Linked DNA regions of Kluyveromyces lactis. The protein of the gene in region 2 interacts with the protein of the main gene of each other region in a pairwise test. Links are inferred from orthologs where the notes say so. Each region holds a gene or a part of one and is shown on either strand. Other genes may lie near its edges. The genes, in order: SOG2, KIC1 and CBK1.

Region 1 (4,160 bases), on a different chromosome or scaffold from region 2:
AATATAACGAACCTTACGATATCCAGGGTTTTCAGTGTCAGAGGATGTGGGATCAGGTCTCAGGACAATCCAGTCATGTCTATCGAACGGCAATTCACTTGAAAAGTAACCGGGGAAAAGAGTACCAAAAATGTTGAAACATCTTGCCCTAGGTGAAAGCTGGTCTGGTTTACCCATAAATTGTAGTAGCTTTGGATAAGTGTGTGTTTTATCGGTATACTTTTTTTCCCAGTCCAGTATTTCTTGCCAACATCCCTCATTCAAAAAGTTGTGAACAAATACCATAGACTCGACAGCATCTTCAGGAATTTCCTCCCCAGTAAATGGGTCAATCTTACCCTTTCTCACCATTGCATTGTACATCTGCTGCGGAGAAGGATATTCCCAAAATTCATCATCGGCAGTCTTACCCTTTGGTATGGAACTAACGGTACGCTCCGTTGGTAGATCGAGTTTTTGACCAGACTGTTTGACATCAGTCAAGGCGATAGGAATGTTGTTCAAAGGATTTAAGCCATGATTACCTTGATCAGACAAGACTGGACAACCACCTTCCGTACCGGTGGGTTTATCTGTGGTCTTCTTATCATGAAGAACAGGGCATGCGGAAACATCGCTTCCCTTAGGTTTATCGTGCATCACAGGGCACGCAGAAATATCTCCAGAAATTGGAGTAGCATTAGTTGACGCTGTGCTTAGCTTGTCAGCCCAGAACCAACCCATCTTCGTTGACGTTTTCGCTTTCAGACTCCGTGTGATGAGCCTTGCTTGATTGAGAATCTTATGGTTAATAATACCCGACATTTCTTTTCCTTATCAAAGCTGGAGGAAAAAGAAGGAAAAAAAATCAGGACATTACCCGGATCTCGTGAAGCTGGTAGAATATCGCGTGGCCGTGGGCCTTGAAACCATTGAGAGAGGACTGCAGAAGTTCGTCACCTGTTGGCGAGCGCCCTTCGGTTGCAGAGGTAGGTTATAACTTATGTACTTCGGATGCCCCGTACCAATACAGTCATATCAATCGTGTACCTCATGCAATATTTCCTTTTTTTTCTCTGTAATACCCGTAATCGAATCAATATGTTTCCTTAGAAAATGATCATCAAAAATAAGCTTCATAGTAAATCTAGTAATAAATAGGAAAGCCCAACGCTGTTTCGACTTGGTTTCAAAAGATCTACTGGAGAGTTCTAACCAAAGTTTTGTACTCTCGACTTAGATCAGCTGGTATTAACGTACTGTGCCATGGATAACCATACGGAATTACTGACATCACTCAGGCAAGGTCAAAATGGAAATCCCCCGATGCACCCTGTTAATAAAGAGATTTATCAGAAGGATAACACAGCAGTTTCATTAGCTGATCTTGGTTTGTCTTCAATAACAGATGATGCTGTTGAGCTGCTTCAACTAGTTGAGAACCTTTCTTTGCACCAGAATAACTTAACACAGCTTCCCGGATCCTTTAAAAAGTTGACAAATCTTCGAACCATCGATCTTTCTGATAACAGATTCAATGATATTCCTCCATCGTTAATGCAATGCCTTCGATTAGAAAAAATAAATCTTTCTAACAACAACATATGGCAGCTACCTCAAGAATTTCCAGAGACATGGTGTGATAACCTTGTTACACTCTCATTGAGGAACAACAATCTAACATCCATCAAGACACTATTTCCTATAATATCCCAGTTAAAGAATCTACGAGTCCTTGAACTAGATGGGAATAATTTTCCAAATGATGTTATCGAGAAGGTTCTACAAGGTTTTACTAGTTCCAAGTGCTCTGCGGAAGAATACTGGGTTATAGCCTTAAGAAAATTCTTCAGTGACAATACCGTTTCACAAACACCGGCAGTTACAACTCTGGATCCACAACAAAAGATAGCAAGGGCTGCGAAACGAATGGGCTTTATTGGAAATTCACATGATTCGGAAGACAATGAGAATAATCTCACGTCTCCCCAGAGCGATCTTGATCTTTACTCTCATTCAAAATTCAACGAATACTTCAAAAGATTATCTGTTCTGCCAGAGGAACCCAATTTGCAAGAGGTAGAAGAGGAAACAGATGAACAGAATTATAAAGAATTACTACAGACACATCATGAAAAGAAAAGAAAATCTATGGAAAATGTTGTGCTAGCTTGCAGGAAACTTTTGTTCACTTTCACTGAGTGTCAGCAAAACATTAGGAAGATAACATCGCTATGTTCTGAAAAGACCATTTCGGTTAATGTTGTGTCACAGCTTTACAGTCTCAAGTCTCATATTGATAATTTAGTTGAAGTCTTGGAACAATTTGAAAATAATAGTCAACAAAATGATCCTTCAATAACGCAAAGTCAGTTCCTTCATCATGATGTTTTGATACGACTATGTTTGACCATACTTTCTATATTCAAAAAGATTTTTGTTCAACTTCGAAAGAACTTCACTGCATTTTTTGGCAATAACGACGTGTTTTTTTTAAGGGTGTTCTACATGAACATATTATGTTCGTATACTGAAATATTCAACGCCTGGAAACTACTTGTTTTGGATAACCAGGAAATGATGAAAAAGAAAAAGCTAGCCAGAACGCATTCAGTTCATTCTATGAACATGGCTCAGTACCAAAAGTATTTAAACAGCAGGCAAAAATCGTCTTCTGCTATTAATCGATCTTCTTCTCTGAGTGGCGTCTCTTCCCAACAGTCTGCAATTAATGTCAACACACCAGGTATAAATGGTCCTTATGCGAATCAAAATGGCCAACAGGTTACCCCGCCAATTAATCCAACATCTTTCACGACTACACCGATATCTGAAGTTTCAACAACACCGCCTATACTAGATTCTTCACCGAAACCACCTCGCAGTCTAAATTACAGTGAGCAATCAACTGCCTCCACAGTCACACAAGGTGCCGCACCCACCGATACCTCCAATATCCCCTCACAAGCACTTGCAGATAAGGATATAGACCTGCAGCTATACCATACGTTGAATACAGTTATTGATATGGTTAACGTTGTATATTCACAATTGACGCAGGCAATAACAAAGTCAGCAATAGCTAGTACTACCTCCGATCAGCTTTCAATAACTCCTACGGTTGCTGCAAAAACAAAAGAATTGACAGATACTTGCTTCCAATCCATGGAGTTATCGAAAGTGTTAAAAAAACGACTAAATGTGATTTCCAATAGTGATATTGACACATATTTGGTTACTAAAGAAAAGCTCAAAACTTGGGAAGATATAAATGCATTTTTGAAGTCAATCATAGCTATTCTAGCCAACACAAAGGAAATCATGAGTGATCTGCCGACTTTGAATGACGTGAGGCCTAATCTAGCCTCTTTAGCTAAAATTACAAAGGATGTTACTGTTATACTCGATCTAAGCTCTTACAAAAGTGCTTCCATTACCAATCAGCAGTCATCCTCAAACCCTTCATATGTTGGTGCAAGTTCTGTTGATGCGCCATCACAACAGCAAAATCACACAACGAATCAAGGATCACCGGCAGGTCAGCATGGAGATACCACGGATCATACAGCTTCGAATATAATAACACCATTATCTACGCCTTCGCTGGTGACTTCTCACAATGTGAATCCATTTGATCAACTGTGATAATAATGCATTTGTATTCATCCTGTATTTACGTATGCTATGTACCTCTCTCTAAGGTTTCTTGATACACCCTTGAAATTTCATAGTGATAGCCATGAATGTCATTCTTTTCCATTAATTTCGGTAGTAATATTCTGGTCCTCTCAGCTATTCCAATTAATCTAACAATTTCTGTTCCACTTATTCTAAAGTTCCCCGGAACTTTCCCGTCAATTAATCTAGCAAAAATAAAGTCTAATATAGACAATAATTTAAATAGCTTTCTTAAAGATCCATGGGTACGGGGTGAATCTGCATTAAACGTTTCAGGCTTCATGGATTGGCCTATATTACTTGAAAAACCATTATCAAAACGACCATTGGTCTCGTTATCATCATCAAATTCATCTTGCTCGGTTAATGGAAATTTATCCAAATAATCTAGAAGATCGTCTGAAATTCTGATTAGATAATATGACTGACCAAAATCGGTTGACTCAGAACCTTGATATTTTTGGTAAAGAGCAGTGTCATCCAAGTTTAATTGTAAAATAGCG
Region 2 (4,421 bases):
AATTCGTACATCTAGCAAAATGCTGTAAAGTGTGCATAAATTCAATAAAATATAATTTCCGTACATCGTAAGGAATGCGTTCGTTTCTCAATTCCACATTTTCCAGTCTAGTAGTTAAAACATCCAAATATTCCTTGATGTGTACCATGTCTTTTTTCGTTATGAGCAGGTTGACGATTCGTCTCATTGGTCGGAAAGGGTGCATGACACTAAATTTTTCATCGAAAATGTGACGTTTTTCAGGATCCTCAATAAAGTGAAGGAAGCTAGCCACTCTATATTCCATCTCCGAACCTTTCAACATTCTTTCTTGTGTCAGTCCTGCATAATGACCTGATATTAATACATTGTTTTCGATGAGGAAAAGATAGTGCTTCATTCTCTCATCAGGAGGAACAAATACGAAAAACCATTGGTGAATATCATCTGGTAGCAATATACCAGAACCTTCTGTTACTTCTGGATTACATCTCCTGTGTAACTCAATGCAGTTGTAAAATTCTTTTCTTCTAGTTGCTCTATCAAGACCTTTGCAATACCGTATATGATCAAGGCTCTTTGAAAAATATGCATAGTGTTCGGAGTCTACGACCCTCAAAAACTCCGAACGAAACTTTAGCCTTTCTATAGGTCCTGGTAAGCCTTCCTCAATATATCCCAGGGCCAAATTATAGTTTTCATTCAAAGTCCTCATCATTTTTCTCTTCAGCTGCATCAATTCAGATACGTTCTCTGAAGTGGGATTTGTTAACGCCTCCGCCACATACGCCTGCATCTTCTGATCTTGTTTTAATTTATGCCATTCATGACTGGATTTTATAGTATCTATAATACAATACACCTCATCCTTGGAAATACCAGATATAAATCTATACTGGATGGTCTGCCTTTTGATCTGCCTCAAACTTTTAGAAAGTGCAAACATTCTTTATCCTATACGCTAGAACAACAAAACGAGCAAACTTCGCTCAGCTGATCGGGATGGCGGAGAAAGGCTAGCTAAAGTACTCGATAAATTAATAAAACAAGATTAATTTCATCATTGTGATTCTTTGTAGGCATCGCAGCGCATTGCATCGCATCTTCATTTTAGAGAAATATCAAAATTTCCAAACAAAAGAGATGTTAAAAGCCCATCGAACAACAAGAAACAGGAGAATAAACACTTCTAGCACACCATAAACAACTAGATTCATCATTTGTGGAGACATATCATATTTTAAAACTCCTGACCATAAACGCAGATTGCACAGCTATCCTTCGGAAGTGCTCCTTGCCTTGACAATGCCCGATTTCGAGCTATTTGAACGGGAAAAATTGTTCACGTGAATAACGAACTCCGGGTAACTATTTTGAAGATCGTTAACCCACCTTTTCTTGTTTATAAAAGAATGAACTTTGAGAGATGGGATTAGGAACCTGCATGTGAGGGAAGCGGAAGCTGGACTAAGAAGAACAGGGATTAAAGCTCTATTTGCCCTCCCAAAAGCCCAGTTGTTTCTAATATACAAACAAAGAAATATTCTAGCAGCTTTTCTATTTGTATTTTGTGGATTTAAACTCATCGTGGTGGAGGTACGATGTCTAGTAGTTCTACAAGCGGCACGAATAATGTCACATCTCTTTTCAAGAGGAAGGAAATCATCGGCAGGGGGAAGTTTGGAGTTGTGTATAAGGCGTTCCACGTGAAGACGCAACAAGTGTATGCTATTAAGGTTTTAAATCTCGATAATACCGAAGATGAAGTGGAAGATATCCGTAAAGAGATCCAGTTTTTATCGTCTTTGAAGCAGACCCCGAACATCACCCATTACTATGGCTCATATTTAATTGATACTAAGTTATGGGTTATAATGGAATATTGTGCTGGTGGTTCACTACGGACGTTGCTACGACCGGGGATCATCGAAGAAAAGTATATCGGAGTTATCATGAGAGAGATTCTTGTAGCTTTGATTTCAATTCATAGGGACAACGTCATTCATCGAGACATCAAGGCTGCAAATATCTTGATTGCAAACAACGGAAGCGTAAAACTTTGTGACTTTGGTGTTGCCGCACAGCTCTCGCAGTCAATGTTAAAGAGACAAACAATGGCTGGTACTCCTTATTGGATGGCGCCAGAGGTCATTATGGAAGGTGTTTACTATGATACCAAAGTTGATATATGGTCTTTAGGTATTACCGCGTATGAAATTGCCACTGGAAATCCTCCTTACTGTCATATGGAGGCTATCAGGGCAATGCAAATGATTACGAAATCCAAACCGCCAAGACTTGAGGGAAGGGAATATTCTCAGCCTTTAAAGGAGTTTATTGCATTATGTCTTGACGAAGATCCTAAGGAGAGGCCATATGCAGAAGAACTTTTCAAGAGTAAGTTGATAAAACAAGAGAAGGGCACCAGCACGGTGATTTTAAAAGAGCTTATAACACGGTATTTGCTTTTCAGAGAAAAGAATGAACAGTATAAACATGAGGAAGAATCTCATACAAGTTCTAAACAGAATCCCAATTCATCGATAGAGGGAAATGCATCACAGGATGCTGGTTCATTTACAGAAAAGGAGCCCGAAGATATAGATATAAAATGGGATTTTGATTCATTGAGCTCTAGAGAATACATTTTAGAGAATGATATCAACGTGGAGGCTATACCAGAAGAAGCGGACTGGATCAAGTATTCTCCTCAAGAAGTAAATTATGCATATCCAGAGGAAGAATACTACAATTCCAACAAACCATATTTCCCATATTACCAAGGATCCACCATTGGCAGGACCTTTAACAACAATCCCAATACGGCTCATCTGTCAACGATACAAGCTAATAACAATAATAGCGCCAACCTTAATGCTACGGCGCCTACAAATCAACATAATACGCATTTTAATAAGCATTATCAACACACTACAACAGGTACAGCAAATCATTTAAGTCGTCACACTGGAACTACCACCCATGGCACTTCTAAACGGAGCGAAACAAAGGCTTCGAAACAATTATTACAATTGTTTGAGGATAAGCCTGAAGAAGTGTATGATTTTCCCAAGCTGAGTAAGACAGTGTCCTCATTCAATATTCAACCAAATGGGACTCCTCATGTTGATCATGACAACGATTCCAGACCTGATATGAGAAATTTGCACAGCCAAAGTACTCCTGCATTATCCATACTCCAAACCAACTTTAAATCCAACCTTGCTGGCCCAGGAAGTTCATCAGTGTTACCAACACCGATAGAAATTGAAATTCCAGAAGAATTACCTGTAAGTAAGGAATCGGTTTTGACGATGAATACGAAGCCAAGGTCCTCCACTGTCTCTTCGATGTCTCAAAAAGCTACACCAGTATTACAAAGACGTCCCACTGTGAGCGGACAACCATCTTCTCAGCTAACGTCTCTTAGGTCGGACATAATGAATGGAATAAATACCAATTCTAAGACTCCAGGAAACGATGACACAAATGGAATCAACGTCCCTTCTACTTCATCGAACAATGCTCCAAATGTGGGAGCTAAGAATTTATTCGGATCGAATTTGACTCAGGCGAGATCGCCGTCTCCCACTCGTGCGTTGGCTGACGTTTCACCGGAAAAGAAATTGTTAGATTCTGTATTGCATCAGAGTGCTGTTTATAGCAACACTCCGCCTGTTATGAAGCAAATGCATACACCTAATGATGTTTTATTACAATCAATGAATACCCCAGCAGAGAAGAAAGAAACCGAAGGTGAACCAAGTAGGATCAATAGAGATTTCAAAAAGCAACATCCCCACTTGAAGTTGCAAATGCCATCTCCTACTACGCTGGTAGGCTCCAACAAACTACTTGATTCAACGACGCAGCTTGACGATGCATCACACCAACATCAACCAAATTCAGCATCCACAGCTCCAGGCGCCGTCACTGCCCAAACTGTAAATCAGTTTGGTATCAACACAAGCAATGCCCAAATATCTGTGGCAATGACACCAGTGGGCGAAAAACGGTTCGGAGATTTCACAAAACCAAGAAAGAGAAGCACAAGTGCCAGCACATCGAGTAGAAATAGTAGCATTACCAATGACCATGTATACAACCCCGCCAATGCTATTCTAGCCAGCAATGGGAACAATAGCGCTTCGGCGACAAATGGGCCAACAAACAATGGTGCTTCTGGCACCGCCGCTACAACAACCACAACTACTGCAAGTATGCTCGCTACGACAGTGAGCTCAACCAATCCCGGTACCAGCAATGGTGCAATATCAATTCCTTCAGCTTCCACATCGGCGGGACCCCTACCATCCGTATCGATGACCCCCCTGAGTATTCCACCAGGAACCAGTAACACTGCAAGCACTGCTGGTAGCAGCACCGTCGTTGGTGGCAGCGCCGGAGGGAATATTTCTACAATGAGTGCACTTTCATCAACG
Region 3 (4,240 bases), on a different chromosome or scaffold from region 2:
GAAGGATTGAACCACCTTGAATTTTTCAACATTAAAATATTACACAAGGAAAGTTCATCATAGTAGATATATCGTATAGTTGATTGTTATAGCACCTATTTGTTTCAGTACATTCAGAAAGCGTAACTCAACAGAGATCAAATCAGTCACAATGGGTATGTGAACAAGATTTAAAATATACCGTGGAGATTGTCAGTGGTTTATTCGATTTTTGGTATCCTGAGGGAAGAATGGAACGTTTGAAGTTTAGTACCAAGTGAACATGAAATGAGCTATGGTTATTTAACAGAATACAGCATTTCAGAGTGAATCAATGAGAAAACACCAACCGTATTGGAAATTCAGATATTGCATCGACAAGGGGGGAGAGTTCATTTGAGTTGGTGAACTATATCAAAAGATCAGTATTTTGGTCGAAGTATGGACGATTCACTAGCATAAAACCCTGTTCACGCTGGAGGAAGTAATTTGGGTTATTTGTTGTCCCTATGTTTCTTAATTCGGTGTAGTCGAGACAACCTCAGAGAATTGTATATCAGTGAAGTCAACGCTACACTGACTGAACATAATTAACAGGAACTCAGTCGTATTAAACAACTGGGGTTCAGATAGCCTGGACCTCCCTATACAATAAGAAGAAGAGAATAGAATTCCTGCAATCAAAATAAGCTGGATGAAGCTAAAGAATATTTTTTTACTAACATCGACATGTATCACTATCTTATGATATGTTAATTTCTAACAGTTAACGTTCCAAAGACCAGAAAGACTTACTGTAAGGGTAAGGAGTGCCGTAAGCACGCCCAACACAAGGTTACCCAATACAAGGCTGGTAAGGCTTCCTTGTACGCTCAAGGTAAGAGAAGATATGACCGTAAACAATCTGGTTTCGGTGGTCAAACCAAGCAAATTTTCCACAAGAAAGCTAAGACTACCAAGAAGGTCGTTTTGAGATTGGAATGTATGTCCTGTAAGACCAAGACCCAATTGGCTTTGAAGAGATGTAAGCACTTCGAATTGGGTGGTGAAAAGAAGCAAAAGGGTCAAGCTTTGCAATTCTGAGATTATCTTTTGGAAGACCAATTTGTTACCATTTGTCAATTTTTTAACTTTTCTATAAGTATTACGAATTCACATATACTCTTTCATCACATTTATAATCTCATATCTGTCATTTGTATAGTTTAGTCTCCACTGGGTACTTCTTCACTTTGCGATTTGTATTATACGTATTCTAAGTATAATTTTCAGCAGAACGCATAAGAGTTTATTAACAAGAATTGTTTACAAAGAATAGCGTAGGACTCAGGCTACATTATTGATCCTGCAGGCAGTAAAGCTTACATATGACCTTAGCTAATATAACATGTACATACTCACCATGTATACCACTTTTTTCATTCCATTGTCTAAAATATGTTTTCAATATTTGCCATAATCGCCAATTTCATTGGAAAAACAAAAACATCGAATCAAACTTGTTTTAGAAAACAACGAACATGAAACTATACTGTTAACGTTTAGAGACATATTTCACGTCAACAAGGCCGTTTGGACGTCGCTACTTCAGCAACAACACGTAATGTACGGTGGATATTCGAATCAGAACTACTATCAACAGCCTTCTGGTCGTCCAAACGATTTTCAGCAACAGGGAAACATGCCCTTTTCGGAACCTTCTCAGCCCATGTTCAGCACCAATTATATGAAACAACAAGGATCACAGCCGTCTTTACAAGACCGTCTGACCCAACAGCAATCGCAACCTCAGTCGCATAATAATCAATATTATCCGAATGGAGGGTTTACTGATGTGCCCAACTTGAATTATCCAGCGACTCCACCACCAACTCAAAGCATTTATTCACATAACAACAACTCTAATTCGAAGGTATATCAATCCGCTCAGCATACATCTCCCGGTCAATATTCTGTTGCCAGTGAGTCCGGTTTGTACATCCCGCCACCACTGCAGCAACAGCAGAATGGTCAACAGAGTCCTGTGAGATCGGTACATCAACAGACACAGCAAACACCGCCAACATTTACTCAGCAACAAAGCTCTTCCCAACCTCAGTCACCTCAACACAATACGTATCATGCACAGCAGCAGCAGCAGCAGCAGCAGCAGCAACAACAAACTCAACAGGCCCAGCAGCAAGGACAACGACAAACTCAGCAACAGTCTCAGCAGCAAGCTCAACAACAGAATGGATCGGCGAATAATTACATGTATTTTGAGAGAAGACCTGACCTATTGACCAAAACTACCCAAGACAAAGCAGCTGCTGTTAAGCTCAAGATAGAGAACTTTTATCAGAGTAGTGTTGGTTATGCTATTGAAAGAAATCAAAGAAGATTGGAACTGGAATCCGAATTGGCATCCCAGGACTGGTCCGAGGAACGTAAGAATAGACAGCTTGCTTCTTTAGGTAAAAAGGAGTCACAATTTTTGAGACTACGTAGAACGAGATTATCGTTGGACGACTTCAATTCAGTGAAAGTCATCGGTAAAGGTGCCTTTGGTGAAGTTAGATTGGTACAAAAGAAAGACACAGGCAAGATATATGCTATGAAAACATTGCTGAAATCGGAAATGTACAACAAAGATCAGTTAGCTCACGTAAAGGCTGAAAGGGATGTTCTAGCGGGAAGTGATTCTCCGTGGGTTGTTTCATTGTATTATTCCTTTCAAGATTCACAATATTTGTATTTAATTATGGAGTTTTTGCCGGGTGGTGACTTGATGACCATGTTAATCAGATGGCAAATTTTCACAGAAGATGTGACAAGATTCTACATGGCAGAATGTATACTTGCTATCGAGGTCATTCATAAATTGGGCTTTATTCACAGAGATATTAAACCAGATAATATCTTGATAGATATTAGAGGCCACATTAAACTATCAGATTTTGGTTTGAGTACGGGGTTCCATAAGACTCACGATTCAAGTTACTACAAAAAGTTATTACAAGAGGACGAGGCAAAGAAACAACAGCAACAACAACAGCAACAACAGCAATTAAATCTACAAAAACCTCAGCTCCCAAACGAAACAAACAATGGTAATAGAAATACAATGTTGGTTGACGCCATTCATTTAACCATGACAAATAGACAACAAATGCAAACTTGGAGAAAGTCGCGTAGACTAATGGCATACTCTACTGTTGGTACTCCGGATTATATTGCACCTGAAATTTTCCTGTACCAAGGTTATGGTCAGGAATGTGATTGGTGGTCATTAGGAGCTATTATGTACGAGTGTCTAATTGGTTGGCCTCCATTTTGCTCTGAAACACCACAAGAAACGTATCGTAAGATCATGAATTTCGAACAAACTTTGCAATTCCCCGATGATATTCATATTTCTTATGAAGCTGAAGATCTAATCAGAAGATTGTTAACTCACTCTGAAAATCGTCTAGGTAGACATGGTGGTGCCGATGAAATTAAGGCACATCCTTTCTTCAGTGGTGTTGATTGGAACACTATCAGGCAAGTGGAAGCTCCTTATATTCCTAAGTTGTCCAGTGTCACAGATACTAGGTTCTTCCCAACTGATGAATTAGAAAATGTCCCTGATTCACCAGCAATGGCACAAGCTGCAAGACAAAGAGAACAGATGATGACACAGCAACAAGGGGTTCCTCAATCCAATGCAAAGGAAGATTTACCATTCATCGGGTACACGTACTCTAGGTTTGATTATCTAACTAGAAAGAATGCTCTATAGTAACGCTCTCTGTACATAACCGCGACGGAAGTTCCTAAATATAATAAAATAAACGAAAGTAAGAAATACTACCAAGAATTATAAACATTACGGTCATTAAAGTGGAGAAAATGTAGATACAGCTGATTCCCAATAGATCATAATCAAATTGACTCAATATCAGGCGCCCAGCAACGTACTTGGTATTAAATCTACGCTTCAACACAAATTATTAAAACCAGGAAATAGTGAACAACACATAACCCGGTCCCCGCGCAGAACGAAATCTTACACAGGGATAACCGTGGAGCGATAATATTGATGTTGATCTTTTAGGAAACAAATAGTAACTAAGGTTAAACTAAAATAGTTCTAATGTATTTAATCATTGAAAGGCCTATAAGTGGAAACGAAGAAATATGTATCTGATTTTATATACTGGCAAAAAAAATTTCATGTTAGTGTGAATGATCTCCTTACTCCGGGTAACGGAGTTTATCAAAGTGTTTTCCGTCCAATATA

The links.
Region 1: the proteins of KIC1 (region 2) and SOG2 interact in binary tests that used the Saccharomyces cerevisiae proteins (3 or more experiments, as listed by UniProt). The link is inferred for Kluyveromyces lactis from reciprocal best matches to the Saccharomyces cerevisiae genes KIC1 and SOG2.
Region 3: the proteins of KIC1 (region 2) and CBK1 interact in a two-hybrid assay, tested with the Saccharomyces cerevisiae proteins (2 studies listed by BioGRID). The link is inferred for Kluyveromyces lactis from reciprocal best matches to the Saccharomyces cerevisiae genes KIC1 and CBK1.

Annotation. Positions count from the first base shown.
Region 1 is NC_006039.1:1,118,166-1,122,325, forward strand, and holds SOG2 (Sog2p), read left to right. Parts: upstream 1-1,245; coding exon 1,246-3,624; downstream 3,625-4,160. Other genes in the region: holocytochrome c synthase CYC3, read right to left, coding at 1-804; TFIIH complex subunit TFB6, read right to left, coding at 3,662-4,160. UniProt on the Saccharomyces cerevisiae protein: Required for proper cell morphogenesis and cell separation after mitosis. Functions in the RAM (regulation of ACE2 activity and cellular morphogenesis) signaling network and is required for proper ACE2 localization and CBK1 kinase activity.
Region 2 is NC_006041.1:1,936,648-1,941,068, reverse strand, and holds the start of KIC1 (putative serine/threonine protein kinase KIC1), read left to right. Parts: upstream 1-1,580; coding exon 1,581-4,421. Other genes in the region: ATP22 (Atp22p), read right to left, coding at 1-925. UniProt on the Saccharomyces cerevisiae protein: Protein kinase involved in morphogenesis and cell integrity.
Region 3 is NC_006040.1:668,594-672,833, reverse strand, and holds CBK1 (serine/threonine protein kinase CBK1), read left to right. Parts: upstream 1-1,582; coding exon 1,583-3,739; downstream 3,740-4,240. Other genes in the region: RPL42A (60S ribosomal protein eL42), read left to right, coding at 152-155, 746-1,062. UniProt on the Saccharomyces cerevisiae protein: Protein kinase that seems to play a role in the regulation of cell morphogenesis and proliferation.